Stegostoma tigrinum: one gene and its partners. Each later gene encodes a partner of the first gene's protein in a complex. Links are inferred from orthologs where the notes say so. Each region holds a gene or a part of one and is shown on either strand. Other genes may lie near its edges. The genes, in order: rbx1, klhl22, dyrk2 and kbtbd4.

The links.
Region 2: rbx1 (region 1) and klhl22 share a complex: the UniProt entries of both Homo sapiens proteins name them as parts of the BCR(KLHL22) E3 ubiquitin ligase complex. The link is inferred for Stegostoma tigrinum from reciprocal best matches to the Homo sapiens genes RBX1 and KLHL22.
Region 3: rbx1 (region 1) and dyrk2 share a complex: the UniProt entries of both Homo sapiens proteins name them as parts of the E3 ligase complex. The link is inferred for Stegostoma tigrinum from reciprocal best matches to the Homo sapiens genes RBX1 and DYRK2.
Region 4: rbx1 (region 1) and kbtbd4 share a complex: the UniProt entries of both Homo sapiens proteins name them as parts of the BCR(KBTBD4) E3 ubiquitin ligase complex. The link is inferred for Stegostoma tigrinum from reciprocal best matches to the Homo sapiens genes RBX1 and KBTBD4.

The regions. Positions count from the first base shown.
Region 1 is NC_081391.1:5,551,962-5,559,334, forward strand, and holds the start of rbx1 (E3 ubiquitin-protein ligase RBX1), read left to right. Parts: upstream 1-4,372; 5' UTR 4,373-4,430; coding exon 4,431-4,505; intron 4,506-7,373. UniProt on the Homo sapiens protein: E3 ubiquitin ligase component of multiple cullin-RING-based E3 ubiquitin-protein ligase (CRLs) complexes which mediate the ubiquitination and subsequent proteasomal degradation of target proteins, including proteins involved in cell cycle progression, signal transduction, transcription and transcription-coupled nucleotide excision repair.
Region 2 is NC_081379.1:47,907,358-47,915,328, reverse strand, and holds the start of klhl22 (kelch-like protein 22), read right to left. Parts: upstream 3,002-7,971; 5' UTR 2,603-3,001; intron 1-2,602. UniProt on the Homo sapiens protein: Substrate-specific adapter of a BCR (BTB-CUL3-RBX1) E3 ubiquitin ligase complex required for chromosome alignment and localization of PLK1 at kinetochores.
Region 3 is NC_081371.1:37,909,064-37,916,746, forward strand, and holds the start of dyrk2 (dual specificity tyrosine-phosphorylation-regulated kinase 2), read right to left. Parts: upstream 3,017-7,683; 5' UTR 2,667-3,016; coding exon of another isoform or gene 2,624-2,666; 5' UTR 2,402-2,623; coding exon 2,326-2,401; intron 2,280-2,325; exon of another isoform or gene 2,214-2,279; intron 1,967-2,213; coding exon 1,827-1,966; intron 1-1,826. UniProt on the Homo sapiens protein: Serine/threonine-protein kinase involved in the regulation of the mitotic cell cycle, cell proliferation, apoptosis, organization of the cytoskeleton and neurite outgrowth. Functions in part via its role in ubiquitin-dependent proteasomal protein degradation.
Region 4 is NC_081370.1:45,664,327-45,672,203, reverse strand, and holds the start of kbtbd4 (kelch repeat and BTB domain-containing protein 4), read left to right. Parts: upstream 1-4,876; 5' UTR 4,877-4,951; intron 4,952-7,494; 5' UTR 7,495-7,517; coding exon 7,518-7,877. Other genes in the region: ndufs3 (NADH dehydrogenase [ubiquinone] iron-sulfur protein 3, mitochondrial), read right to left, coding at 4,760-4,820. UniProt on the Homo sapiens protein: Substrate-specific adapter of a BCR (BTB-CUL3-RBX1) E3 ubiquitin ligase complex which targets CoREST corepressor complex components RCOR1, KDM1A/LSD1 and HDAC2 for proteasomal degradation.

The DNA of each region.
Region 1 (7,373 bases):
AAGGACATTACTGCTAGACTCAGTACGCAACAGGTGCTGAGGAAGCCATTGAGGTAAAAACCTACCTGCCCTCATCCCTACTAAACTAGTCATTACAGATGCATCTCACCATGTCTTGGTAGGAGTAATGTACAGTCCTTGTTGAGGCTAAAGTCCCCGTTTCTCATCAACAATATCTTCACAGAATCCCTATAGTGCAGAAGGAGGCCATTTGACCCATAGAGTCTGCATTGACCCTCTAAAGAGCATCCCACCCAGATCCATCCTATCCCCATAACCCTGCATTTACTATGGCCAATCCACCTAGCCTGCACATCTTTGGGCTGTGGGAGAAACCGGAGCACCTGGCACAAACCCATGCACACAAAGGGAGAATGTGCAAACTCCACAGAGAGTCCCCCAAGACTGGAATTGAACCTGTGGTTGCTGGCGGAGTGAGGTAGCAGTGCCAAACACTGTACTGCCCTGCCTCATAGTGCAGCACTACCATCAGCTAATTGGATAGATTTCAAAGAGATCTAGCAACTCGAAACTAAGCATCCATGAGGTACTGTGTACTATCAGCAGTAGAATTACATTCCACTACAACCTCTAATCTGACAGCCTAGCGCGCTCCCATAATGAACAAACTTGCGATTGACCCTGGTTCAAACAAGAATGGAGGAGGGCATGCCAGAAGCAGTGTCAGACATACCTAAAAATGAAGTATGAACCTGGTTAAGAAACATTGGACAAAGTATTTAAATAAAAGCAAAATGCTGCAGATGCTGGAACTGAAGCAAACAGAATGCTAGAGAAACCCAAAAGGTCTGGCAGTATCTATGCAGAGAGAAACAGTTAACAATTTGAGTTCAGTATGACTTCTGAAGGACAGCCATACCAGACGTGAAATGTTAACTCTGTTGAATGTTGCTGCACTTGTCTACCATGTAGTCACTTGGAGTCATAGACATAGACAGCACAGAAACAGATCCTTTGGTCCAACTTGTCCATGCCGACCAGATATCCTATATAAATCTAGTCCCGTTTGCCAACATTTGGCCCAAATCCCTCTGAACCCTTTCTAGTGATGTACCCATCCAAATGCTTTAAATGTTGTAATCATACCAGCCTCGACCACTTCGTCTGGCCGCTCATTCCATATACACACCATTCTCTGCGTGAAACAGTTGCCCCTTAAATTCCTTTTATATCTTTCCCCTCTCAACTTAAAACTATTGCCCTCTGGTTTTGGACTCCCCCATCCCAGGGAAAATACCTATTTACGTTATCCATGCCCGTCATGGTTTTATAAACCTTTATAAAAGTCACCCCTCAGCCTCTGACTCCCCAGGGAAAATAGCCCCAGTCTCTTCAGCCTCTAGCTATAGCTCAAACCCTCCAACCCTGGCATCATCCTTGTAAATCTTTTCTGAACCCTTTCTAGTTTCACAACATACTATAGGAGGGAGACCAGAATTGCACACAACACTCCAAATGTGGCCAAACCAATGTCTTGTACAGCCACAACATGACCTCCCAACCCGTTTATTCAATGCACTGACCAATAAAAGCAAGCATACCAAACACCTTCTTCACTATCCTACCTACCTGCAACTGCACTTTCAAGGAACTATGAACCTGCACTCTAAGGTGTCTTGTTCAGCAACGCTCCCCGGGACCTTACCATTAAGTGTACAAGTCCTGACCTGATTTGCCTTTCAAAAATATAGCACCTCACATTTATCTAAATTAAACTCCATCTGCCACTCCTCAGCTCATTGGGCCCATCTGGTCAAGATCCCGTTGTACTCTAAGGTAACCTTCTTCACTGTCACTAAACCTCCAATTTTGGCATCATCTGCAAACTTACTAACCATACCTCCTACAGTAACATCCAAATCATTTGTACAAATGACAAAAACCAGTGGACCCAGCACCAATTGTTGTGGCACATCACTGGTCACAGGCCTCCAGTCTGAAAGGCAACCCTCCACCACAACCCCCTGTTTTCTACCTTTGAGCCAGTTCTGTATCCAAATAGCTAGTTCCCCCTGTATTCTATGCTATCTATCCTTACAAACCAGTCAGCTGTGAGAAACCTTGTCGAACACCATTCTGAAGTCCATATAGATCACATCCACTGTTCTGCCCTCATGAATCCTGTTACTTCTTCAAAAAACTCAAATTAGCGAGACACGATTTCCTATGTACAAAGCCATGTTAACTATCCCTAATCAGTCCTTGCCTTTCCAAATAGAAGTAAATCCTGTCCCTCAGGATCCCCTCCAACAACTTTCCCAACACCGATGTCAGGCTTCATGAGCAAAAGAACAGAGATGACACGAGGGAAGTGCACTTGTGATCTGGAAATCACTGAAAACGTGACGGAACCAGATTCAAAAGTAGCTAGATATCTGAAGGGAAAATACCTCCAGGGCCAGGGATAAAGAGCCGTGTAATAGACTGTTATTTTGAAGGACCAGTAATGACATAATAGCCAAGTGGCCTCCTTCTTTGCTATATTATTCTGTGGATCAATTTTAAAAGTAGTTATTTGGGTGAATCACTTCAAAACATTTCAATGTGAAATGGAAGAACTTTCAATGTCGATATTTTTAATCAGCATGCTCAGATTCCTCACGCTTTGCCTTCTGCCAGTCAGCCATTCCTCTGGCTCAACCAATACCTTGCCTCTAACACAATTTGGGGCGGCACGGTGGCTCAGTGGTTAGTACTGCAGCCTCACAGCGCCCTCGGGTGACTGTCTGTGTGGAGTTTGCACTTTCTCCCCGTGTCTGCGTGGGTTTCCTCCCGGGTGCTCCGGTTTCCCCCCGACAGTCCAAAGATGTGCAGGCTAGGTGGATTGGCCATGCTAAATTGCCCGTAGTGTTCAGGGTTGCGTGGGTTATAGGGAGATGTGTCTGGGTGGGATGCTTCAAGTGGCAGTATGGACTTGCTGGGCCAAAGGGCCTGTTTCCACCCAGTAGGGAATCTAATCTAAAAAAAACCATCTTGTTTCCTTAATAATGGATTCTAAAATCTTACCAATGATTGACCAGGGCTAACTGGCCTATAATTTCCAGTCTTTGGCCTCCATCCCTTCTTAACCAGGTGTTATATCAGCCATTTTCCAGTCCTCTAGGTCCCTCACTGATTCCAGTAATTCCTGAAAGATCCTCCAATGCATCCATAATCGCCTCAGCTATCTCCTCCAGACACTTGTAGTCCAACTGGTCCTGGTGATTTATCCACCTCCAGACCTTTCAGCCTTGCAAGTATGTTCTCCTAAGTGATGGCCACCACACTCATCTCTGTTCATCGACATTCTTTCAGTTCTGGTATGCTGCTGGTGAATTCCACTGTGAAGACTGATGGAAATTAGATCAGCCGTGCTAGCTAGAAGCACCAAGTGGCCTGCTCCAGCCTCCAATTCATGTGTTTTAGTCTCGCTAAGGTGTGATCAGTATCTTCTACATTGTGAAAAGTTTTGAAGTGCTAATTTCACATCTCCACCAAGTCTTGCACAAATTCCCACTTTGGTCTCCAATTGGCCCTGCTTATCTTTTTACCACTCTTCCAGTATCCATAAGTTTTATGGAAGAATTTTGCGTTCAAGCTGCCAGCATTCTATCTTTGCTTCGACTATTTGCTTTTATCAAACCCCTCGGAATATTCCACGTTCAACATGCTCAGTTGTATTCGATGAAGCACAACTGACGTCAACTCCAATAAAAATCAAATTCCACATAATTGAAACACAAAGGGATTTGATTTCCTGGTGGTGAGGATGGTAACAACAGGGCAATGATCCCCAATAACAGCGGCCATGGCCTCGTGGGGGTGAGGAAGAAATCACGGCAAACCACTACCTGCAGGTGGCGCCATGCCGAGATGGGGGCGGTGCTTTGTGTAGGCGGTCACTTCTGGGGGTGGGCTTTGTGCATCTCATCCGGGTGGTCCTACCATCGGAGGCGGTACTAGGTGACGACATAGAGAGGCGAGGCTTTACTGGGGTGACGTTACGGAAAGTGGCGTGGCTCTGTGACGCCACACGGTGATGTTTACGTGCCAGTAGGTGGGCAGGCCTTTGATGTACAGCGGGTTTGGTGGCGAAATAGCGGGAGGAGGTGGAGCTCTGCTTCGTGCAGTGGGCGTGGCCAGAAACGCGTTGCGAAGGGGCAGGACTTTTGTTTGGGTACCTCCACAAGAGAGGAAACGGAAACTCCGGGGTGTAGACGAGAACATGTGACGTAGAGGCGGAGCTTAGTGGACTCCTGGCCCCTCCATACCGGAGGAGGCGGGGCTGAGTACAGTGTTTTTGAAGTTTAGTGTTGTCGGGATCCTCGTGACGCTAAGTAGGCGGGGCGTTAACCAGTCGGCTGCGCATGTGCAAATTGAACATAGCTGATTGGTTGGCAACAGGTAGCCACCGGCTGAAGGCAGACAAAATGGCGACGGCAATGGATGTGGACGCACCAAGCTCTACCAACAGTGGCGGGAAGAAGCGCTTCGAGGTTAAGAAGGTACAGTATGCTAGGATGCAGGATACAGACTGCTTCCAACGGAGCAGGGCTGGGTATTGAAACGTGTGATGTTTCCAAATCTGGCAGTTTGAAGCGGATCGAAACACGACCGGATGTTGGCGGCTTAATTGGCAGCACCAGCTGACTAATGGTGGCCGTGAGCTAACCGTAAGAGCATTGGGCAGGTTCTTGCGCCCCTAGTGTCTCCGTGCCCCCTAAATCTCATCCCGCTCCCACCTCCTGCCATCTTAGTCTGACACGCTCGCACGCCCCCGGCCTGCCCTTCCTGAGAGGCGCAGACTGCTCGCTTGCTGCTTTGTCATTGGGCCTCTGTCACATACATGTGTTTGTTTTTAGGCCGCTGGGTGCACGTCTGTTTCTCAGGGAGACAGATGACCAGAGGAGCGGGTGTGGACTTGTTACCAGCAGCTCCTGATAGTATCTTCCAGTACGGACCCATTTTAACACTCTACAGAAACAAACAGTTCACTTCCCGCTCACATTCGTACGTGCATTTTTGGTATATTGTTTAACAATAAAAGTAAGAATTGCTTTGTAATTGAAAATAGGAATTGCTGGAAAAACTCTGGGTTTGGCAGCATCTGTGAAGAGAAAAGTTAAATGTATTGAGTCCTCAACTTTATTCCTTTATCCCAGAGAACTAAGTTAATTACAGTTTATATTAAATGATTTCAATGTATTAGAAAAAAATGAGTCCTACCCTGTGCAAGAAGTTCTTGCTTTTTTTTAAAAAAAAGCTTTTCAATGGTGCAAGTGAGTTCAGAAGTAAACTTGTCATCAGACTTGAGGGGTTGTAGCCCTTGTCCCTGCATGCATTTAACAGTAATAGAGACACTTCCATTGTTCACAAATGTTTTCACTTTTCTCAGTTATTTGAGAGAAAAACAAATATTCATTGTCAAAATGCTGTGTAAACTTAAAAGTTGTATTATAGGTTGACATGTAATTGTTACAAATACATAATAATAAATTTTATGATGTCTTTTTATAAATGTTATTTTGTGTACCTGGATCGGTGTGAAGGCCTAGTGGTATTGTTCCTAATGCTCTGGTGATTTCAGTTCAAATCCTGTCTTGGCAGGTGTGGAACTTGAATTTACTAATTAAAAATTGGAACGAGGAGTCCAATAATGACATGAAATCATTGCTGTTTGTTGGAAAAACCCATCTGGTTCATTAATTTGCTTTAGAAAAGGAAACTGCTGCCCATGTTTGGTCTGTCCTACATGTATCATCAGATCCACACCAATGTGGTTGACTCTAGGGGTGTGCAGTGATTTAACGTGAGCCAATCTGGGTCATGGATCTGGCATGTTGGCCAGAAAAGAGCAGAAATATAGACTCTAGTCTTCAGGTGACTGATGTTGGATCCCAGATTGTTCTGTAGTATCACAGTTCTGGGTTGGCTGAGACACGCCACTGTTCAGCTTGGGGGCACCCGATACCAGGGACCAGACTTTATAAATGGGAGTGCTTCTGCAAGAAACATTATATGACTGTTTGTTTGTTTGTTTCTGTGGTAAAGAAATGAAGTAGCCCATTGGCCATAGAGAGTACCAGACAATAGCAGGGTAAGGCTGGATGCTGTCTGGGATGTGATGCTGGTTGTTATCTAAGGGGAGACAGTTCTTGTGATATGATTGCTTTTGCTTTTGCTCCTCCAATTGAGGTTGTTGTTTTCAAAATAGTTTGGAACTTACTGCCCCAAAGTGTTTAAATTCCCTTGAGTTTCTCAAATTTAGGTGCAGCCTAAGCATGAACATTTGTGGTGAGTGCAGTCTTTAATGATATTTCTTCATTTGGCCCTTTATAGAAAGCTGTGCAGTTGGTCATTCAGTCTTTATCTGACATACCTGTGTTACACTTAGTGCAGTCTCGTCTGCCAGTATTTGCTTCTCACTAATTTCTCTTATTACATTATCTCATTCTGCCAGCATATTCTTTTACTCCTTTCTCCCTAAGTACCAATCCTGCTTCCCTTTAATTGCAGTACATCTAAGCTATACCTTAGTACCTTCACCCTGAATTTCTTAGTGGACATATCAATGACTGTGTTTGTTTTATGAACTGCATGGCTGCTGATGCTGCAGTGATCAGGAATGTAGTAGGTCTGGAGGTGACTACGGAAACTAGAATATGCTAAATTCAGTTTCTAATAGTTGCCAAGTTAACTCCTTTCAAGGCCTTTTAGAATGGGCAGCAAATGCCAAACTTGTTGATATTTGCATCCTAGGAATGAATTGGGAAAGGAATTTAGTAATAGATTCAGAACTTGTAAGTAGATGAAGGAAAGAAAAACTCTCTGTCTAGGTCTCTTTTTCTCTCTCTTTTCTTCTCTTCCTCCCACTCCCCCCCCCATCAGTAGGCAGTGATCCTCTTTTAAAGTGTCATAAGTATTTGAAGCTAATATCACATTCAGTTTAGAGCTTAATGTTAAATTGTTGTTCTGCTGATGTGAGTTTTTCCAGACTGTCCACTTATTTCCCACTTGGTTATGGTGTGGTTTGTCCAATATCTGCAAATAATGTGATGGTACAGAAGTCCAATGATATTTCTTTCATTTTTTTGAGGTTATTTTAAGAGTTACTTGAAAACTGAATTGAGGGATTGTGTAAGTTTTTTTTTAAACTATTTTGCGTTCAAAGTTTTGCGGTATACGAAGCATTTACAAACTTGATGGGATGATGCAGTGGAAGTGTCTCTTCAACGTCATGTCATGCTTTTATTGACATTGCACGTACACAGCACCACAAACCAGGGTCTGAAATCAGAACTAGGAAAGCATTATTCCAGTCTAAGATATTTCAAGAGCGCAGTGCGAAAGGGGGCGTGCAATTGTCCATTTAC
Region 2 (7,971 bases), on another chromosome or scaffold:
GGACTTTCATGGTGCAGGGGCCTTTAGAAATGGTAGTCGGATTTGATTTCAGAATTCCTGCTTCCAACCAGTGGAAGATAAGAATATGGGGTAAACCCGCACACCCACTTCCCACCATCCACTGCAGGAATTTCATTCAGCATTCCAAACACACAGCATCAAATCTGTTAGAAGACTTGGTTTATGGCACCATAGAGAAGTCATGAACCATGAGTGAAACTTGGTCCCCATTCACACCCACACACTCCAAAAAAAAATACAGCCATTCGACATTTCTCTTAAATGACAATGACAGCTTTATGCAAAAGTAAGAGGCAATCACAATTAGTTATTCATAGTATCGATGTCAAAAAGCTATTCTCCACTTTTAATTTTATGTTACCAAACGCGTAGGTACTAAGGATCTTCAAAGATCGGGTTACTACAGGTTCTAATTAAGTCATTTAAACAAAGCTACTGCTTCCCTCTGTAGTTGTTAAACATTGCTGAGTCAATTTTGAATCTTAGTCAATCGTTCATAATAAGGCTATATGTAAAAACATTCTATATAAAGCCTCATTATGAATGATTGACAAAGCTCCAAAAATGATGGAGCCACTTAACTCAACAGCCAATGTGTAAGCAGCCACAGAGAGGAGTGGTAGCTTTGTTTAGGTGGTTTAATTTACCTTGTAAAAAGTTATTATTTTTTTGAATGCTTGTGTGATTGTGTTATTACTGACACAAGATGAAAAAGTATGAAGTAGCCTGACGTCACTGATACTATAAATGTTTGTGATGGACTAACTTTTTTAATTGAAGTTGTAAGGCTTTATTTGCCTGTTGCTTTATTTCAACAGTGTGTTTTCAAAGATAGCAGGAACTGCCGATGCTGGAGAATCTGAGATAACAAGGTGTAGAGCTGGATGAACACAGCAGGCCAAGCAGCATCAGAGGAACAGGAAAGCTGACATTTCCTGCTTTCTTGCTCCTCTGATGCTGCTTGGCCTACTGTGTTCATCCAGATTTACACCTGGTTATCTCAGTAGGTTTCCAAAGTTTCTTTGCTTATAGTGACATTTACCTAGGCATTTTTTAAAAATTATCAAGACTTGCCAATGTGTCATTGATTCAGTAGATGTTGGACATTTAACAAGTGAGTAGGGAGGGTGGGGGCATGGAGTTAGCAATTGAGCTATGAGGGCTCAATGAGAACCCCATCCTGTTCCACCTTCTCAGATCAAGAGGATGGTATTCCTCCTTGGAGACATGTTTGTGGAGTCTGGAATCTGCCTGGCTTCCACTTCCCATCTCCTTCACAACCATGGGTAGCTGATCAATGCACAAATTGGATGGCAGGGGCAGATTAAGTGTGCAGGCTACTTGGAACATCAAGACAACAGGTTGAACTGCTGATGGAATTGCAGAGCAATGGAACAAGTTACATGATCGTAACCTACTGAAAACTTATTCAGTGTAAATTCAAGATTGAGGAAGCTGGATCAGTTCCCGTTTGTGCAGGAAGTTACACCACAGAAGAGACAGGGAGACACAAACAAATACATCAGAATCAGCGTGTTTTCCTGGACTGGTTTCTATCACCAGAGGATTATTGGACCAAAATGTTCCAGATTTTTTAAAAGTATGGTTTGTGTAATGGTTTTTCTGCTGTCCCATAAGACTGCATCTCACCTGAACTATGTCTTGACTAATGTAGGAGGGTATCACAACATTGTGGAATGTTTACGGAACATGGCCCCAACTCACCTCCTTACGTTTTGTTCATGCACAATGATATCAGAGTCTATCTGACAACATGAGCGGTGGAGGATTCTCATCGGTATGCATGCGGACCTTGAACCCCATGCCTCATACAGATAATGTGGGAGGGGGTTCAGGAGGATCATGGAAATATGCAGATTACATATGAATCAGAGTGGCAGTAGGACTTGGAAAGGTGAAGGGATGGGAGGAACAATGGGAACTGAAGGAATTTTGGACCTTGGGAGTGGTTTGGGAATGCGAGGATCAATTCTAATAGGTGGATTTAAGGAACCAGGAAGGGTTAAAAGGAATTAGAGAAGCTAAAAAAAAGAGGAAGGAGAGGGAGGGGAAGAAGTCAGATTTGAGTATTTAAGTAGGTCTCATGTAAGATGTAACTCGATGCAGCATCTAAAATCAGTGATAAGGGCTTTTGTAATAGACCAAGTGACCCAGGTTCAAGTCCCACCTACCCCAGAGGTGGATGATACCCTCTCTGAACAGATTGTTGAGAAATAAGATTTAAAAAGAAAATAAATGGCAAGGGCTGTTGTGGTAGTGTCCTTGCGTGTAGACCAGGAGACCCAGGTTCAAGTCCCACCTGCCCCAGAACTGGGTGACAGCATCACTGAGCTGGCTGATTGGAAAAATATAACTAAAACTAACAGAGTGCTGGTGTTATTTATTATTTTGTTGTTGTTGAGGTGGCGGTGTGCGCTGAAACAATAACAAAGACTGCAGAAAGCCCCTTCGGTAGTCGAGAGGAAGCAAATATACAACTGAAAACGCGACCCTTAGCGTTCAGGGCTGGGAGTACGGGCTCGGGAGGCTATCCAGTGAGGAGTTAATGAGTACCGCCTACCTTGGTTGAAGAGAGTCCGGGCCCCCCGAGGTTGGCTCTGAAGCCTGGGCCTCCCGGCCCGCCGGCCGCCATTTTGTCTCTCATCGCCGTACCCGCCCGATCACAAAATGGCGGCCGGCGCTGACGCAGGAGGGAGCAACCTCTGCTGAGGAATGACACCACGGGGGCGACGGGCCGAGTGGCCGGCTATCAGTATCGGCCTCTGCTCCTGTTCTGGTATTTATTCCCCACACACACGTACATGCAGTTGCCTCCGTGTGAATCCGCCTGCTCGGGTGCCATGGAAGAGCTGCATTCCGATCGCGCCTGCCTCCTCCCCACAGCTGGTTTTTGCGGGCATGTTGGAAAGACGCCGCCCACCTTCACTTATCTTCGACAGAGAGTTATAATCCTAGAGTCCCCTACGGTGTGGGGACAGGCCATCCGGCCCTTCACATCAGCCTCCCACCCAGGCCCCTCCACCCACCCCACTGCGTTTCCCCATGGCCAGCCCACCCATCCCTGGGCACCATGTGCCAGTCCACCCCAACCCGCACATCTCTGGACTGTGGGAGGAAACCCACGCAGACAACGTGCAAACTCCACACAGACAGTCACCTGAGGGTGGAATCGAACCCAAGTCCCTGGCGCGGCGAGGCGGCAGCGCTACCCACTGAGCCACCATGTTGTCCCTGGGAATAAGTGTTGGACAGGCCATAGGAATGCTGCACAGAGTTCAATGCCTCATCCCCATAACCGTATCCCGGAAGGGTTAGCCTGATAGTTCGTGCTGAAGGACTGCTGTGGGAAGTGAACCCCGAACACACCGACCAACACGCCAGGGCACATGTGTTGTTATGTATTGCTCTGAGACATGATTAGCACGAGCTCAGCCCAGCGTCACAACAGTTTAACCAGCTTCCCAGTTCTTGAAGTTTACTGCACTCCCTCCCTCCCTTTCAAATTTTAAATGTTGCATATTACTGAGTTCCCAGAATACGCTATGACCTTGGAGCTGAGAAGGGACATGATTAAAATGTACAAAATTATGAAGGACATGACAGGAAGCAATATTTCATCTTGATGAAGGGACCATTAACCAGATTTAAGATGAGGGGTGGAAGGTTTAGAGGCGATGTGAGGAAAAATCTTTTCACTCAGAGGACGGTGGGAATCTAGAACTCGCTACCTGGGAAGGTGGTAAAGACAGAAAACCTTCATGATATCTCAGAAGTATTTAGATGCCCACTGGCAATGCCAAGGCATACCAAGCCAAGTGCTCATAAATAGGATTATCATAATTAGGTGATTGATCTTGACCAATGCAGACGTGATGGATTGCATGCTTGTTATTGCATTTGCAACCAAAACGTTTATGACTATTACTGCATGTTGCACATGAAGTGTGTTTGCTGTGTTTGGATCTGGCATATGGTGCAGTTGTGAGATTGGTATGGCATACTGCTGTATATGCATTACAGTCCAATCCATTACAGTCCATTTGTCATGGGAAATATGCTGCCGTTGACTACAGTCACAGAGTTGTACAGCACTGAAACAGATCCTTCAGTCCAACTCGTCCGTGCAGACCAGATATCCAAAATTAAGCTAGTCCCATTTGCCAACATTGGGCCTTATCCCTCTAAACTCTTCCTATTCATGTACCCACCCAGATGTTTTATAAATGTTGTACCTGCCTTCACCATTCCATACATGCGCCACCCACTGAGTGAAAATGTTGCCCCTTAAGTCCCTTTTAAATCTTACCCCTCTCACCTTAAATCCAAGCGGCTGAGATTTGTCACAGTGGAATTCCAAGACATGATTAGCATGTGCTCAGCCCAATTTCATAACAGTATAACAAACTACCCAGATCTTGCAGTACACTACACTCCCTCCTTAGTTGAAAATATGCAGAGAATGTCATTGATAAGAGCTATAATGAAGTGGTCACTCCTAAGGCGCAGGTTGCAGGGAGCTGGGTGACCACGAGAAGAAGTAAAGGGGGAAGACAAATAGTAAACGGTTCCCCTGAGGTCATTCCTCAATGACAGGTACACCGTTTTGGATACTGTTGTGGGTGGGATGATCTTTCAGGGGCGACCAGCAGGTCAGTGGCACTGTGACCGGCTTTGAGGCTCAGAGGGAAAGGGTGCAGTCAGGCAGAGCGATACCGATAGGAGACTTAGTTGTGAGGAAGACAGACAGGAGATTCTGTGGCTTCAGAAGAGACACCTTCCTGGACATCTCCAGCACATCCCTCACCTTCCTGGACATCTCCAGCACATCCCTCACCTTCCTGGATCTCTCAGTCTCCGTCTCAGGCAACCAGCTTGTAACTGATGTCCATTTCAAGCCCACCGACTCCCACAGCTACCTAGAATACACCTCCTCCCACCCACCCTCCTGCAAAAATTCCATCCCCTATTCCCAATTCCTCTGCCTCCGCCGCATCTGCTCCCACGATGAGGCATTCCACTCCCGCACATCCCAGATGTCCAAGTTCTTCAAGGACCGCAACTTTCCCCCCACAGTGGTTGAGAACGCCCTTGACCGCGTCTCCCGCATTTCCCGCAACACATCCCTCACACCCTGCCCCCACCACAACCGCCCAAAGAGGATCCCCCTCGTTCTCACACACCACCCCACCAACCTCCGGATACAACACATCATCCTCCGACACTTCCGCCATCTACAATCTGACCCCACCACCCAAGACATTTTTCCGTCCCCACCCCTGTCTGCTTTCCGGAGAGACCACTCTGTCCGTGACTCCCTTGTTCGTTCCACACTGCCCTCCAACCCCACCACACCCGGCACCTTCCCCTGCAACTGCAGGAAATGCTACACTTGCCCCCACACCTCCTCCCTCACCCCTATCCCAGGCCCCAAGGTGACTTTCCACATTAAGCAGAGGTTCACCTGCACATCTGCCAATGTGGTATACTGCATCAACTGTACCCGGTGTGGCTTTCTCTACATTGGGGAAACCAAGCGGAGGCTTGGGGACCGCTTTGCAGAACACCTCCGCTCGGTTCGCAATAACCAACTGCACCTCCCAGTCGCAAACCATTTCCACTCCCCCTCCCATTCTTTAGCTGACATGTCCATCATGGGCCTCCTGCAGTGCCACAATGATGCCACCCGAAGGTTGCAGGAACAGCAACTCATATTCCGCTTGGGAACCCTGCAGCCCAATGGTATCAATGTGGACTTCACCAGCTTCAAAATCTCCCCTTCCCCCACCGCATCCCAAAACCAGCCCAGTTCGTCCCCTCCCCCCACTGCACAACACAACCAGCCCAGCTCTTCCCCTCCACCCACTGCATCCCAAAACCAGTCCAACCTGTCTCTGCCTCCCTAACCTGTTCTTCCTCTGACCCATCCCTTCCTCCCACCCCAAGCCGCACCTCCATCTCCTACCTAATAACCTCATCCCACCTCCTTGACCTATCTGTCTTCCCTGGACTGACCTATCCCCTCCCTACCTCCCCACCTATACTGTCCTCTCCACCTATCTTCTTTTCTCTCCATCTTCGGTCCGCTTCCCTTCTCTCCCTATTTATTCCAGAGCCCTCACCCCATCCCCCTCTCTGATGAAGGGTCTAGGCCTGAAACGTCAGCTTTTGTGCTCCTGAGATGCTGCTGGGCCTGCTGTGTTCATCCAGCCTCACATTTCATTTACAAAGTGTGGAGCTGGATGAACACAGCAGGCCAAGCAGCATCTCAGGAGCACAAAAGCTGACGTTTCGGGCCTAGACCCTTCATCAGAGGTGTGTTGTTTCACCAGGATGGTGTGTTGTTTCCCGGATGCCAGGGTCAAGGATGCCTCTGCTTGGTTGCAGAACATTCTGAAGGGGGAAGCTGAACAGCCAGAGGTCATTGTGCACATCGGTACCGATAACATACGTAAACAAAGGGTTGGGGTCCTGCGCAACGAGTATACAGAGTTAGGTAAGCAGGATCTCAAGGGTAGTGATCTCTGATAACTCCCAGAGCCACGCGCCAGTGGGGATAGAAATAGAGAGATAGGCCAAATGAATATGTGGTTGAGGAGCTGGTATAGGGGGGCAGAGTTTTCAGTTTTTGGATCTTCTGGAGTAGAGGAGACGGGTTGCACTTGAACTGGAGAGGGTCCAATATCCTCACAAGGAGATTTGCTTGTGTTACCTGGGGAGGGTTTAAACTAGTTTGGCAGGGAGATGAGACTCTGAAGAAGAGGGGCCAGCAAAAAAATCAGGGGAAAATATATTAGCCATGGAGAGCAAGTTTACTCTTCAGGATAGCCAGGGGCGCAGGAAAGGGAAGGAAAAGACTTCTGGTTTAAAGTGTATTTATTTCAACGCACAAGGCCTGACTGGTAAGGCAGATGCACTCAGAGCATGGATTGGCCCCAGCGGACCGGGATGTTACAGACATAATGGGACCAGGGCTGAGAGAAGGGCAGAACCGGGAGCTCAGTATTCCAGGATACAGAAACTACAGATGTGACAGAACTAAAGTAAGTGAGGAGGGGGAGTTGGTGTTTTGATAAGGGAGGACATAACAACAGTTCTTAGAGATGATATTCTTATGAAGTCATCAAATGAGGCCCAAAACAAAGTTGCTGGAAAAGTTCAGCAAGTCTGGCAGCATCTGTGAAGGAAAAAAACAGAGTTAACATTTTGGGTCTGGTGACTCTTCCTCAGCACTGTTCTGAGGAAGGGTCACCGGACCCGAAAAGCTAACTGTTTTTTTCCTTCACAGGTTTTGCCTGACCTGCTGAGCTTTTCCAGCAACTTTGTTTTTGTTCCTGATTTACAGCATCCGCAGTTCTTTTGGTTTTTATCAAATGAGGCCATATGATTAGAACTTAGAAACAAGAAGGAGATGGTCACTCTGTTGGGACTTGTATTGCAGACCCCAAATAGCCAGCAGGTACTGGAGGAGCAGATGTGGAGAGAGATTGCAGATACCTACAGGAATAACAGAGTAGCATTGACTGGAGAGTTTAATTTCCTCTGTATTGACTGGGTTACCCAGTCAAGGCCCTGATGGCGTGGAATTTGTCAAATGTGTCCAAGAAAGTTTCCAAAATCAATATGTCGAGGGCCCTACTTCGGAGGGTGCAACACTGGACCTCCTCTTAGGAAACAAGGTTGGGCAAGTGATTAAAGTGTCAGTCAGAGAGCACTTTGGGTCCAGTGACCGTAACTCTTTCAGTTTTAACATACTCATGGAAAAAGATAGGACAGGTCCACGCGTTAAGGTTAAGAACTGGAGCAGGGCCAGTTTTGGGGACATTAGGCAGGATCAGGCAGAGGTCAACTGGGTGAGTCGGTTTGAAGGAAAAGGAACGATTGGCAAATGGGATGCTTTTAAAAGTGTAATATCAAGAGTCCTAGTTAGGG
Region 3 (7,683 bases), on another chromosome or scaffold:
CAAGATGGGATTTTTGTGTACTTTTAAAAACATTGGAATAGTGGGATAACAACAATTTAAAAATGTGTCTCGATCAGAAATCATAAACATCCCACTGTGCGGATCAACTGCTATTTTAGATGCACCACGCAAATGCAGCGAAGCCATGAAGTATTTAATACGCCCGGACAATGTTGTGGGAAGAAAAAAAATTTTGTCGTAACATCTCCCCGGGCTCCAAGGCATCTACTTTAAATTCATTTTAATACATTTAAATCTTTTAATGCTCATATCGCTTCCTTTGTTGACATTCGCTTTATTCCAAACGGGTGGATTTTATATATTTGGAGGTAGGGTGGAAAATTGCGTTTTTGCGTTAGTTTTTGTTAAGATTGTTTTAACCTAAGTCTAAACTGAACAATCACTGCACAACCTGCATCAGCACCCCCCCCCCCCTCCCCCCGGCTCTCCGCTCCCCGAAAAATTTTTAACGAGTGCACTTCGCGGGTTAGGAACAAACAGCAAATTTCTTAGTCAAACAAAACATTTCTGTACTCCCGCGAGAGAAATATTCATGCTTTCCCGCATCAGTCACTCGTAAAAGCACAATACTTTCATGTTAAAACAGGCGATAATGCTTTTCATTTAAACAAAGCTTCACTTGAAGTCCCAAACATGCTTCTCCCCGCCCCCACCCTGTGATCTATCAGACCATAGTTTAAAACCGAGGCCTCCGAGAGTTGAGGATCACGACATATCCAGCGTATCCAAACTGGTCTGTACCAAAAACATCACTCAGATCATATTGTAGCCTTAACCTACTAGTTTACAAACTATTTCCAAATTACAGCAGTTTTGAAGGAGTGGGAGTGGGAAGAATAATTAGTTTACTATCTCAACCCCAACTGAAACCTCGTCTGAACTTAGTATGACTGTTGGCCAGTCAGAGAGATCTACAGCACAAAAAGGCCCTTCAGCCCATCAAGTCTGTGTCAGTCAAAACGAGCACCTAACTGTTCTAATCCTATCATCCAATATTTAGCTTCACAAGTGTACATTTAAATATTTCTAAAATGTCATAAGGGTTACTAACATCGTTACAGGCACTGAGTTCCACATTGTCACCACCCTCTAGGTGAAAATACAATTCTCCTCATTTCCCTTTAAACCTCCTGACCTTTGCACTAAATCTATGCATCTTGTCATTGACCCCTCCACTAAGGGGAAATGCTTTACTCTGTCTTTGCCCTTCAGTCTCCCCTGCTTCAAGAGGACAATCCCAGTCTATTCAATCTCTTCATGACCAAAACTCTCGGGCCCAGACAACATCCTGGTAAAGCTCTGCACCCTCTCCAGTGCAGTCACATCCCTCACAGATAAACTGGTACTTTAGACTATACTTGCTTTGTGTGTCTGTTAAAATTGCATTCCTGCAAAATGTGGTAACCGTGAGGGCTGAGAAACACAAAACCCGCAATTAGAAAATGATTATGTCAACGTATGGAAACCTCAAGTGAAAAAGCGATTATGGTTATCCAACAAGGAATATGCATACTTGTTATCTAAACTGTTGACACGCCCTTCACCCACAATCAAACTAGTGGAGCAAGAAAAATGTAAGATTTCCAGTGTATCTTCAGTGACTTAACAATCGATACACCTGAATTGAAGACATACATCCCTTTAGTCTTCATTGTTGCAAGTGCTACTGAATCTGTACTTTGACATGGTATGCACTGTGGTTTCCATGGTGGATTATTTTTCTCTTGTTACGCGGGTTCAGTTAATCCAGAGGCGTTTGCTCTGGTAAATTCTCACAATGTTTTAGTGGGTTTTGTCTTTCTTACCGTATGACTCTTCAGTGGCGGCAATCCTAGGGGCGATGGCGGGTCTCCCAGCCGAGATCCTGCTCCGCCTCTCTGCCTCTCCGAGCAATCGGTTCCCGTCCTGTAATCGGGCTGTAACACCGTGCTGTCAGCGGCCCTACCTGTCACAGACATACACATACACACAAAAAAAAGCGCCACAGATGTTCAAAACGAGTGAGAAAATAAGAGCGCTCGGCGTTAAAGTAAACAGAAGATATCAAGCGCTTATAATCAACGGCAGGAAAGCCGTGACCCCACACCCTCCAGGGAACGATCGACAACACAATACACAATCCCCATTTGTTCCACTAAAGCAAACTAAACACACCAACCTCACCTCAACAAATGTTCACACAACACACACACCTTTTAGGAAACCATAAAGCTAAATCCTTTATCCCCCGAAACCCACCCTAGCCCCGGGGGACAACTGTAGTAGGTCCGCCCCCTCCGCCATACACTATTATAAATTAATGACCTTTCAAAACTACCAAAGTGAGTTGATCATTCTCCAAACCCTCATCCTCATTCGCCGAGGCGAGCACACTTTCCATTAGTAGGAAGTTCTCACCCTCTCTCTGGCCAGACCACCCCGCCCCCCCCCCATCCAACCCCAAATGTCAAAGCATGAAGGGTGTGTGTGGAAAAAAAGTTCCCCTTCCAACGATATGAAAGGTGCACGGAGCTGGAAATTAGTTGGAGTGAAAACACACGGCGTGGGGTCTGGTTCAATGCAGCTGGCTGGGTGTTGGCCCTTTCCCTGTGGATCTCCTTACCCGTCGGATAGGCAGCAGTCGAGGAGGGTTTTCTCGTTAACATGGCCGCTCAGTCAGACACACACACACACACACACACACACAGGGAAAAAATCTCTAGCTGATCCTTCTCTCAACTCCAGGCTGTAGTGGAAGAGTCACCTACGTCCGTACAGTCTACAAACTGCTCCGAACTCAACCACTGCTGCCCTGACAACATCATGCACAACTTCATCGATATATTTTTTTAAAAAACTATCAACAGACACACACAACGAGCAACTCCCCGCACGCCGCTGTCTGGGAGCGGCTTTGTGTTCTACACTGGAATGGTGCAGTAAGACGGTAGCTGTGTGTAATGCTGATTGATTCGGGTTGTAACACTGGCCGTCCGGTTGCTAAGTGAAACTCCGTACATACACATTAGAGACAGGGAGATACTCGCAGAGTCATTTCAAAACAGCCGACACCCGAAAAACCAAGCAAAACACCGACGTCATTCACGTTGCCTCGGGCACAGCAAAGGGAACGGGTAACCCGTTCTTTAAGGAAATTGGGAGAAATGCTTGTTGGCGAGTTCAGTCTGTAGCAGAGAGAGAGAGAGAGAGAGAGAAACAGCGATAAAGAAACGGCAACTTCTGGGGTTAAAAATGCAATAAGAAAACATCACACAATGGACGGAATGGATTAGTAAGAAAGTGGACAAGAGCTTACAGTGAAATCACACAGGCATAGGAGGCAAGAACAGAAAATGCTAGGCTCACCTAAATGACCCTGAGTTCATCCATATGAATGTGATAATACTGTCCTCACCTAATATGGGGATCCAACTGGTGGTCCAACGAAAGGCGTCACCTTTACAAAAAAAGGCTGGACGTTGTTATTTTAAAACGCCTGAAAAAGTGAAATATCTCGCAGTCCAAAGATAAACCCCGCAATTTCTGAACTATGCTCCTTACAATGTTCAACCAAGATGTAAACACAGATTGTTAATATATTTCACTAACAGGTATAAAATTAATTTCCCAAATTAATGTTGGTATTGTCATTATTGTGGTGAGCTCCATTTAAATTTGTTGCTATTACAGTATTTTTGAGCTTTAAACTTATAAATCATTAAATATACTGCAGTGGAAGGATATTTATAATGCATCAAAGTACAGCAATGTTCTATTTTAAAACAATACGTATTCTAAAACATAGTTTCAATACATAGAATTAAGTGTATTTGCAAACATCTAAGTTAATAATTTTACTTTCCACAAAGTTAATTATTACAATTAGTTTTTAGAATGATCTCTAAAACTCATAAATTGGTACATCACTGTACATTAGTCAAGCGAGATACTTACCAATGTCAATGACTGTCTCAAATTTTGAAGACAGTCCAGAATATTTTCTGCCAATTGCAGCATGCAGCCAGACAATTTTAACTTTTGTTTTGCTAAGCAATGTAAGCTCAGAAAGTGCAAGGACAACACCCCAAGACATGACATAGACACAGCAGTCAAACAGCAATAGTAGCATGCTGGACCAGGGTGAAATTAATCCAAGAAAAAAGTTGCAAGCAAATCTGCAGATGGCAAGGTGTCTGAGTGCAGGGAGCAGGAAAATCGTTAAGAATGAATTCGTAGTTGCAGTCTTGAAATTTCTTCGGCCAAAACTGGGCCAATTGAAATTTTTAATACTGATAAAACGGGGTTCTTATTGAGTAAGGGTGTCGAGGGATATTGAGCAAGTGTCTAAACACAGTTAAGACACAGATCAGCCATAGTAGAAAAGGTTCAAGAGCTAAATTCTCAACTCCTGTTCCTAAACTCAGCCCACCCCCCTACTTAAGGACTCCCAATCCCACCCACTTTGACTTCTGCACCCATTATCCTGGACTCATGATTTGGTCCTTTTGTCCCTGTTCCTTGACCATCTTATCCCTGGGCATGCATCCTTTGTCTCCCTAATCCTCAGTCATGTGTTAGCTAACTCCTGATCCTGAGGGTCTCTGTGATACCAGTCATGGCTTGAGGTTTATGTCCTCCTCATAAATGGGTTGTGATGCTTACACATAAGACCATAAGACATAGCAGTGGAAGTAAGGCTATTCAGCCCATCAAGTCCACTCTGCCATTTAAATCATGGCTGATGGCCATTTCAGCTCCACTTCCCTGTACTTTCCCCGTAAACCTTGATTCCTTGTGAGAGCAAGAATCTATCGATCTCTGCCTTGAAGACGACATTTAACGTCCTGGCCTCCACTGCGCTCCACGACAATGAATTCCACAGGCCCACCACTCTCCAGCTGAAGAAATGTCTCCTCATTTCTGTTTTAAATTTACCCCCTCTAATTCTAAGGCTGTGCCCACGGATCCTAGTCTCCCCGCCTACCTAATGGAAACAGCTTCCCAGCGTCCACCCTTTCTAAGCCATACATTATCTTGTAACAGAAGTTTTGTAGTTCATGCAACTCCCGTGAGAGCTGGCATTAGATAAGCACCTTTTCACATGCATCTTTCTTTTAATGCATTTCTATTCTGTGGAAGTGCTACAAAATGAACCACGTGAATCTTCAACTTTTTAGTAAGACCCTCTCCTGAAATATAAGAAGATGCTAGTGGAGTAAGTTCAGCTGTTTGGAAAGTTACAGGTAGAAAAAACCTGAGTACAAAACACACTTGTCCAATTTTTCATCCCCCATATCTATGTTAGTGGCACTGAGTGAAGCTATACCTCACGATAGATTATGGTATTGTTCCAAACATCTACACCAATAGGTTTATTTTTAATTACATGCACTGTAATACATCTGTCAGCTATATGCAAAATGACTGGCTTCAAGCACAGCCTTTAGTCCAGTTTGAGAAATTCCATTAAATTTAGTCGACAGCTGAAAAAAAAGCCTGCTCCATAATAGGCAAGTTCAACATTTAAGATTTAGACACTGAGCCACTTTGAACATAGCACCATCAATAACTTACAATCAGCAGAAAAGTAAATAATTAGTCACCACATAGACAACTTTAGGAAAGCAGGCATAGATTACTTATCAGTAAATCAACTAACTTACTGGAGCTTTTGATGGGGTAACAGAGTGGGTTAACCAGGAAAATGCTGTTGATGTGGTGTACATGGACTTCCAAAGGCATTTGATACAGTGCTGCACACAGATTTAGGAGCAATGCTAGAACTCATGGAATTAAAGAAATTGCAGCAACATTCTTACAAAACAGGCTGAGTGGGAGGAAAACAATCAGTAATGGTTAATAGGTTAAAAACAAGTTTGTAGGTGAGCTCCACAGAAATCAGTGTTGGGCGCCGTGCTTTTCCAGATATATATCAATGATATAAACCTTGAAGTACAGGGAATAATTTCAAAATTTGCAGGTAATAAAAAGCTTGGAAGTTTGTAAACTGTGAGACAGTAATGTAGATCTCCAAAAGACATAAATAAGTTGGAAGAGTGAATGGATAGGTGGCAGATGAACAGAGATAATGGGAACTGCAGATGCTGGAGAATCAGAGATGACAAAGTGTGAATCTCTGATGAAGGGCCTAGGCCTGAAACGTCAGCTTTTGTGCTCCTGAGATGCTGCTTGGCCTGCTGTGTTCATCCAGCTCAACCTGGCAAATGTACAATTGACTTACCATGAAGGATGGCCCCATCTGAAAAATAAATGTACTCCCTGATGTTACATCATTAAATGTGATCACTATTCATTACCCGCAGTCAACCGTTTGTGAATACATGTCAATTCCTATGAACCATAGAGACTTCAATTGAGCAGGCCATGTTCATCCAGCTCCACACTTTGTTATCTCTTTTAATCACTTCTGATAGTTTCCATTTAAAAGATATGCAGTCATTCCTCCTTGCCTGCAAGGATTCTGTTCCTAAGGACAAATGACAAAATTTGCGAGCATGGAAATTGTTAAAAATAGTGTTAATATTATCACAGATATGTAATTTTTGCCTGCAGATGTTGATTTTTGTTGTTACTTTTTTTGACAAGGATAGGGGAATTTTATGGATACACAGGATTTACTGTACACGTTATGCAATTGAACTGGAAAGAAACAGGTAGATGCTCTGTCCCTTTGAAATCCAAGGGAATTCCAAAACTAAAATCTTCCTGGTAGAAGAAAATCCATTGAGCAAGTATAAGTAAAATAAATTTTCTTGGCTTTTTAAAAACTCTCATGCATAAAGCTTCATTTTACATGTTCTGGTGATAAGCAGGCTGAGAATGCAGTGGGATTGCATTTAAATATACATTTCTGTTTCCATGTATTAAAAATCAAATAAATTGAAAAATCAAGTTCTTGAATGTTCAAGAGCAATCTACAAATGCATTAAACTAGAAACACAAAACTTGAACTGTAAGGATTTCATTGGGTCTATCTTAATGTGATTTCCTGAAATGTGAAAAAGTCCTATGATTGTTCCATCTAATGTGATCACCACATCTCAGCATCACCACTGTGACATACAGTATGCCATCAATAAGTGCCTCTCATGTTATTCAATTGTGTACTAAAATGCATGGAATGTGCATATATATTTGAAAATGGAAATTTGATCCGTCAATGATTCTTCAGTTGTTTTACTAGGTACATTTTTTGTGGAGATCAGTGGAGATTATCAATCTAACTCATGTTAAACACCTTTAATACCTTCCAGCAGTCATATTACAGAACTCACAGCTGTCAAACTACCACAGATGCTCACATGATCAAAATTGATAGAAATGGAAAGTAATTTATTTTCACTTACATATTTCTGTATTTAAGAAAAGTTATGATGAACAACATTTAATCTGAAAATTACAATAAATTAGTTTTTAAACTGGCAACCACAACTCCCTTACCTCAGTGAGCTTCGAAGAAGACAAAGAGAGTTGTTAGTGGTGAGCTTAAAATACTTGACTTTTGAAACAAAATTGCTGTCACACCTTACTTATAAATTTCAAAGCAATCGTCTAATTTAAAGATTTGATTAAAATTCAATAGCGATTTGAACTTTGCTCTAATATTTGAAACCCTTGTTTTGATTGCAGATTAATAATTGCTTTCAGTGGTTAATTATTCTA
Region 4 (7,877 bases), on another chromosome or scaffold:
TACACAGAGTTGAGAGAGCATGGAATGTGTTGCCAGCAGCAGTTGTGGAAGCAAGATCACTGGGGACATTTAAGAGACTGCTGGACATGCATATGGTCACAGAAATTTGAGGGGGCATACATGAGGATCAATGGTCGGCACAACATTGTGGGCTGAAGGGCCTGTTCTGTGCTGTTTTGCTCTATGTTCTGTGTTCTAATAACATGAAAGGGAACAAAAATAGTTGGAGTGCAAGACTTGTGAGTCAGATTGGAAACAAAGAGGGTGATATGTGTTTATAGGCACAGGACAAGGTTAGAGTACTTGATGAAAACTTTGTATCAGTGTCTACTGAAGAAGAGGATGCTGACAAAATATAGGTAGAAGCAGTGTATGACAGAATAACGGAAAGGCTGTCTGCGCTTCAGACATTTAAGTCACTTGGTTCTTGTGGTTAGCACCCAAGATTGTTAAAGAAAATGGGGAAATAGTTGATGGGTTTGCCACAATCTTTCACTCTTCTCCAGATCAGGGAGAATGGAGGTGGCAGAAGACAAAGGGCAGATGTGACAACCTTATTCAAGGAAGGGTGAAAAGGACATTTCTAACTGATACTAACTGGTGAGACATTAGTGATGGATAAGTTTTGAAAATCAAAAAATTAGCAAGCATTGGAGATGCCTGAGTTAATTAAGAACAGCCATTTACAGGTTTATGGAAAGTGAATTGTGCATGTCTAATCTAACTGAATTATGTGATGACATAAAACAGAAGGTCCAAGGGAATGTGGTTTTTCTTGTCTACATTGATTTTAAGAATGTTTGACAAACTACTACAGAGCTGGTTAGCAAAAATCAGGCTCAGGAAGAGGAAGGCCAGTGTCATCTTAGATCAAAAGAAATAAAATTACTTACAGATAGAAAACAAACAGTGAGCCATAGTAAATAGTAGTGATTCAGACTGGAGGGTGGCTAGTAGTATTTCCTAAAGTTCTTTATTAAGGCTTTTTTACATATTTACCAATTTTGCCCATGATATATTCAGAGAAGAGGCAAACAGTGAGGTAATATAAACTGCCTCAAATACAACAAAGATCGTCTCACAGAATGGGCAGAACCTGGAATTGAATGGTCTTGTTGCCAGTTTTGCAGGGTATTTATCAATAACTTAGATCAATAGGGTATTCCAAATCTAAGTTTGATGATTATGTTAGGTGGCACAGTAAGCACTGGAGACAGAAGTGGGATATTGCAAGGAGACTTTGATAGTTTTACCCATAAAACCATGACAAATACAGTTTTACGTGGGAAAGTGACAGGTCACCCAGAGTAATTACAATGGAAGAATCACTACTTTCCAAGTGAGTAGTGGCAGAGCATGGAGATTCAAGTTCTCATGAATGAAAATCACAAACTGCTGGAGAGGGTTGAAAACTCATTTCAGAACCTAATGGAATATTAAACTTTATCTTAAGAAATACGGAATGCAAATGAATGGTGATTACGTTAATGTTACATAAAGCTCTTTACAAAGATACCATTGTAAAATGGATACATTCACAATGGAGGTGGGTGCACAATAGATTTCTCAGGATAATACCAGCGTTGAGAGGACTGAATGCTTTGCCCAGGGTTCAATTTCAATGAGTACAGAAGATCTACAGATGATTTAAATGAAACATGCAAAATGATTAAAGGCTTTAATAATGGGGAAAGTTCATCAAAACATGGAATAATTAGAGCTGAAAGGAATGGGGAAATCTAAAAACTCACTGAAATGAACATTAACACTAGGTCAAGTAAAATTACAATAATCAACAGGCATCAGATACAAAGCAGCCAAGAATCAGTTGAACAAGCAGGACAATACTTCATAATTTTTACTCAAAGTCTGACATACATCAACGAGATGGGTACCATCAGCAAATCAGATGCAGTTAAGCACTAAGACTTCATTTTACTAAGCTTCACCAGGAAAACATAGCAGGGGGCAACACATTGCCAAAAACTGCAATTACCAGCTATTCTGTAGTTCTAATATTATAGTAATAATTCATTAAATAAAATGAAGTATAACATTTAGCAACCACATGACATCCTAAATTACTTCACAATTAAACACTTAGAAAGCATTGTATTATAGGCAAATACAGAAGGCAATTTTGCAGGGTCTCACAACCAGCAATTATATTAACTCAGATCCTCCACTTTAGCAAAGTTGATTGCATGAGAAATAATTCAGCCATTTGAACTTTTCGGAACCATATTACACTGAAACTGAACCGGATCAGCTATAATCATACTTTGGTGACAATAGCAGGTTGGAGGCTGGGAATTCTGCAGCAAATAAATCACATCTCAACCACCCTAATGTCTGTTCAAAATCTACAAGGAACAACTTAAGAGTATGAGGGAATACTATCCATTGCCTGGACAAGTGCAGCTCCAACATGCTCAACAGCAAAACAGCATCCCAGTTGATCAGCACCCGATCTACCATCTTCAATTATCACGCCCTACATCATAGATGCACAGCTGGCAGAATTGTGCACTAACTGCAAGATTCACTGCTGCACCTCACCAAGCCTCTTTTATCAGTGCTTTTCAAGCCCAGAAACTTATACATAAAGTGCGGGACAGAATATATATGGGAACCTCACTACCTGCAAGTTCCTCTTCCCTCCCACCATCCTAACTTGGGAATTATATCACCATTCCTTCCCTCTGCTGGGTCATAATCTGGAAATTCCCTTCCTAACAGCATTGTGGATACACCTGTTATTTCACAACTAGAACAGCCCAAAATAGCTCACCATCATATTCTCAAGGGCAATTTTGGATTGGGCACAGGTGCTGGCCTAGCTAACGATGCCTCACATTCCATGTACAAATAAATTTTTAAAATCCCTGCTCTCACACAGTAGAAAATCCAGATATTGCAATGTAGACAAGAACATTCTGAACAGCTGAACAATGAAAATAACAAACTATTACTGCTAACATTTCTATCAGTTCAATCATGTCTGACATACACTTTCAACACCACTTTCTCACCCATGTTGCACGCTCATTATTCTGAAAGATTTAATCACTCCAAGATTCACAGCTTTTTGGGAAGATGCAGAAACAGTGACTCCCACTAGTAGATGCAATTTATTTTACAAAGTGTCAGTTTAATCTAACAAAGTATTTTGCCACATATCAATGTTCCCCTTTAGTTTTCAGAAGGTATTACAATTCTCCAGGATCAAGTCCCTGTTATTCTTGAGGCTTTGAATAGTTGAGTCAAACCCTCACCTTCAGCCCTGATGTTTCTCATTGCAGTGATTCTGAAATGTTAAGGGTTAATATCTGTTCTGCTCTCCAAGTGAAACATCTGTAAGCAACTTGATGCCTCATAAGCACCCCTGTTTCGCAGACAAATTACGGTAATCTAATTATGCTCTGTTCTCTGTAAAGATTGAACTAAGGCTAAAAAGACAAGCAAGTGTCCAGTCTCATACATTGTTTTTGGGCAGCTGACCTCTGGTTTACTGTCAGATGATTAAGTTACATACTATCGCTGTTGCTAGGCATGTAACTACGAGGGAGGAGAAAAAAACTGTATCTTGCATGCATGTCTGACTGTGCTAAAAAAGCCTGTATAAAGGGAGGAAAGTTCCCTTAATAGACAGCATCGCTTGACACGACTATGGAAGCCCTGCAAAGTTTGTTAAGAAATCCTCCAAAAGCTTGTACTTGCTTAAATAAACTGTGGCTGTGCACAGAAGTCGGCGCATTGCATTTGTATCAAGTGTGTAGGAATCTCCTAAAAGGGAACCCAACAATCCAAAGAAAACTCCAGACTCTTCATTCTCCCTACCTCACCCCCACACCCTCTGCACAGAAGCAACTCTACTCCAGCAAGAAAGTCCACAACCAGCACACTAGCAGCACCCACAAGCCTCCTAGCAATGCCATAACCCCACACACACTCAGGGATCTCACAGACCAAACTGCTACAGCAGCTCACTGCCTCCTAAACAGCTGCAGTACCCTCTTCTTCACATCCCTTTCCTCAGCTGCAGTGCACACTTTCGCCACCAGCACCCAAAACCCCCAACAGCTGCAGCACCCTCTTGTGCACCCCATCAACACCCTCTATGCTCCCCCTCTCCACCAGCTTCAACACCCTCTTCTGCTACACCCATTGCACCCTCCTCTCTGCTTGCCCCTGCCTGCATCTCCACCCTCTTACCCACACTAGTTGTATGATGCACCCACTTCTGTCTCCCCTCCCACCAGCTGCAGTATCCTGCCCTCTCTCCACCACCACCCCCACCCCGACACTGGCTGCAGCACCTGACCCAACCAGCAACACACTGCTCCCCACCAGCTGCAGCACATTCCCTATTTCGCCCCAAGCTGCATTTCCCCTACCTCCCCCCCTCAACTACTTGCAACACCCTTTGCCCTCTTTCCCCCATTCACTGGCTACAGCATCCTGTTCTCCTCGTCTCACACTTTTCCTTTACACCCCATATCCACAGTGCCCTGTCTCAACAGCCCACTTCCAGTCTCTAGGCCTGCACCCGGTTTATCGGCAGTGGCCACCTCCAGGTGCCGGCTGCGCACGAAGGTCAAACAGCGGGGACACGGATTCTCCTTCCTCCCCGAATCCTTCATCAGTCGTCGTCGTCGTCGTCGTCGTCGTCGTCGTCGCCGCCTCCTCCTCCTCCTCCTCCTCCTCTCCCGGGGACCCTACACCGCCTGCTGCGCCCTCAGTCGTCGCCGCCACTCACCCACATTCCGGAAGGTTCTCAACCATCCGGCCCGAGCCAGACCCACCAGCCTGGCCGCCATACCAACGGAACCGGAACTACCGGTCCGCCCCCCCCAATCCTTTCCTTCCTCGCCGCCGTGTTCACCTTCACTCTTCCCCCCTACCCCCATCCCCTTTCGGACGTTGTGGCCGCTGCTCCTGATAATTAAAGGTAAAAACAAAACACAAAGAGAGCTTTGGACGCGTTTGGAAATGCGATTCCGCTCGGTTAATAAATAGAGGTGAATTCGAGGGAATTTCCTATTCCTGAGGCCTGGTTGTTGATCTTCTTTCTCCCGGAGCCGCAGGGCCTGAATAATACACTTTCCTGTTGAATAATTTCACCCTTTTCAGAATAAATTTCTTCATTTAATAATTCCATCTTCCTGTTTCATAACATTCTTTTCTGCTTAATAACTTCAACTTTCTGTGTAATAGTACTATTTTCTGTCTAATTTCCACTTTAATAATTTCTCCCTTTGTTCCATTTTTTTAACTCAGTGAATCATTTCCCTTTCCTATTTAATAGTTCATTTCTGCTTAACAAGTTCACCTTTCTATTTAATAATACAACCTTCTGTTTCACAATTTCCATTTCATTTAATTGTTCACATTTCTGCTTATAATTGCACCCTTACTTTTTTTGGCAATCTTATTTTATAAAATTTGTTCATGTGACATGGACGTTACTGCCGAGGCCAGAATTTATTGCTCATCACTAATTTATTTCAAAATGCGGTGTTGGGTCACCTTCTTGAATCACTGCAGTCTGTGTGTTGTAGGCATATCCACTGTCCTATTAGGAAGGGTGTTCCAGGATTTTGATCCTGTAAGCGAAGGAAAGTTTCAAATCAGAATCGTGTACAGCTTGGAAGGGAAATTTCAACTGATTTTGCCCTCCTAGGTGGTAGAGGCCATAGCTATGGAGTTTGCTGTTGAATGAGCCTTGACGAATTACTGCAGTGCATTTTACAGATGGTACGCAGTGCTGTCACTGTACATTGATGAGGAAGTGAGTGAATGTCATTGTGGTCAATAGGGTACAGTCGGTTGGCTACTTTGCCTTGAATGGTGTTGAGCCTGGGAATACCACTTATCCATTTTACTCCTCCACACTCGTGACTTGTACCTCATTAGTTATGAACAGGCATTTGGGAATCGTGACAAGAGATATTGTGGAACTCCTAACCTCTGACCAGTTTTTGTAGCCACAGTTTATGTATCTAGGTTCAGCTTCTGATCAATTTTAACTTCCAGTATGTTGATAATGCAGTTTGCCATATTTCTGCTTAATAGAGTCATAGAGATATACATCACAGAAACAGACCCTTTGGCCCAATATATCCATACCAACCAGATATCCCAGATAAATCTTCTCCCATTTGCCAGCATTTGGCCCAGATCCATCTAAAGCCCTCCCATTCCCGTACCCATCCAGATGCCTTTTAAATGTTGTAATTGTACCAGCCTCCTCCGTTTGCACTGGCAGTGCATTCCATACACACACCACTCTCTGTGAAAAAGTTGTCCACTAGTTTTGGACTCCCCACCCTGAGGTGAAGACCTTGTCTATTTACCCTCTCTGTACCCTTCATGATTTTATAAAGCTCTATAAGGTAACCCTTCAGCCTCTGACGCTCCAGGGAAAATAGCCCCAGCTTCTTCAGCCTCTCCCTATAACTCAAACCCTCCAAATCTGGCAACATCCTTGTAAATCTTTTTTGAACCCTTTCAGGTTTCACAACGTCCTTCCTATAGCAAGGAGACCACAAGTGAATGCAGTATTCCAAAAGTGGCCTAACCAATGTCCTGTACAACAATGTCATGTTGTAGCTGTACAACATGACCTAACTCCTATAGTCATTGCACTGACCATAAAGGCAAGCATACTAAATGCCTTCTTCACTATCCTATCTACCTGCAACTCCACTTTCAAGGAACTATGAGCCTGCATTCCAAGGTCTGTTTGTTCAACAACACTCCCCAGGACCTTACCATTAGTGCATAAGTCCTGCCCTGATTTGCCTTTCCAAAATGCAACACCTCACATTTAACTAAGTTAAACTCCATTTGCCACACCTCAGCCCATTGACCCATCTGATCAAGGTCCCGTTGCACTCTGAGGAAATTCTCCACTATCCACAACACATCCAATTTTGGTGTCATCTGCAAACTTACTAACCATGTATTATCTATGTCTTGTTAAATATTGAATTTTTTTGCTGTATTTTTCCCAACGATACTGCCTCAGGAAATACGGATAATTGTTAAAAGATACTCATTGCCATCCCAGGCTTCGGGTAAGGTTCCCACATAATCAGTTAAAATCCCATTCAGTGGTTTTTCAGAAGCTTGAATCAAGTTGTTTTAAGTTCTGGTTGGGCTTTGCCCATTACCTTACACGTTGCAGTTAAAATCGGATCATCCATGATCTTACTGAAAGGTGCAGCTGCTGAAAAGACCAAGTGGCTTATTCTTGTTCCTCTATTGCATGTTCATGTATTCAAGCAAAATATTGCTGCTTTATATTATTGTTGATGTACAATATTCACATTTGTGCTTTGTTAAAGTGGAGATCAGCAAAAGGAATGACTGCCTTTAAGTTTCTATTGTTGTAATAACATAGAGAAGTTTATGGATACAAAATACTTAAAAAAAAATTTTTACATTTTGAAAATTTAAACAGTTTATTTTTTAATGTAATTATTCCTATAGGTCCTGTTTTACCACTTGCTAAAATGGAGCCAAATAGTGATGCAGGAGGTGCAGCCATCGCTGGAACAACAGATGAAAGTTATTTCATGAGCTATACCTTCACAGATAGATTCCATTCTGTGCGAGTTGCCCAGAGTATTATGGATCTGTGCCTTGAAGACCGGCTCTTTGCAGATGTCACCATCTCTGTGGAAGGCAAAGAATTCCAGCTCCACCGACTCGTGCTTTCAGCTCAGAGCTGCTTCTTCCGTTCCATGTTCACCTCTAATTTAAAAGAAGCTCATAATGATGTTATAGAACTCAAAGATGTGAATGCAAGTGTTTTCCAGCTTCTTGTGGACTATATTTACCGGGGCACTGTAAAACTGAGAGTGGAGGACCTC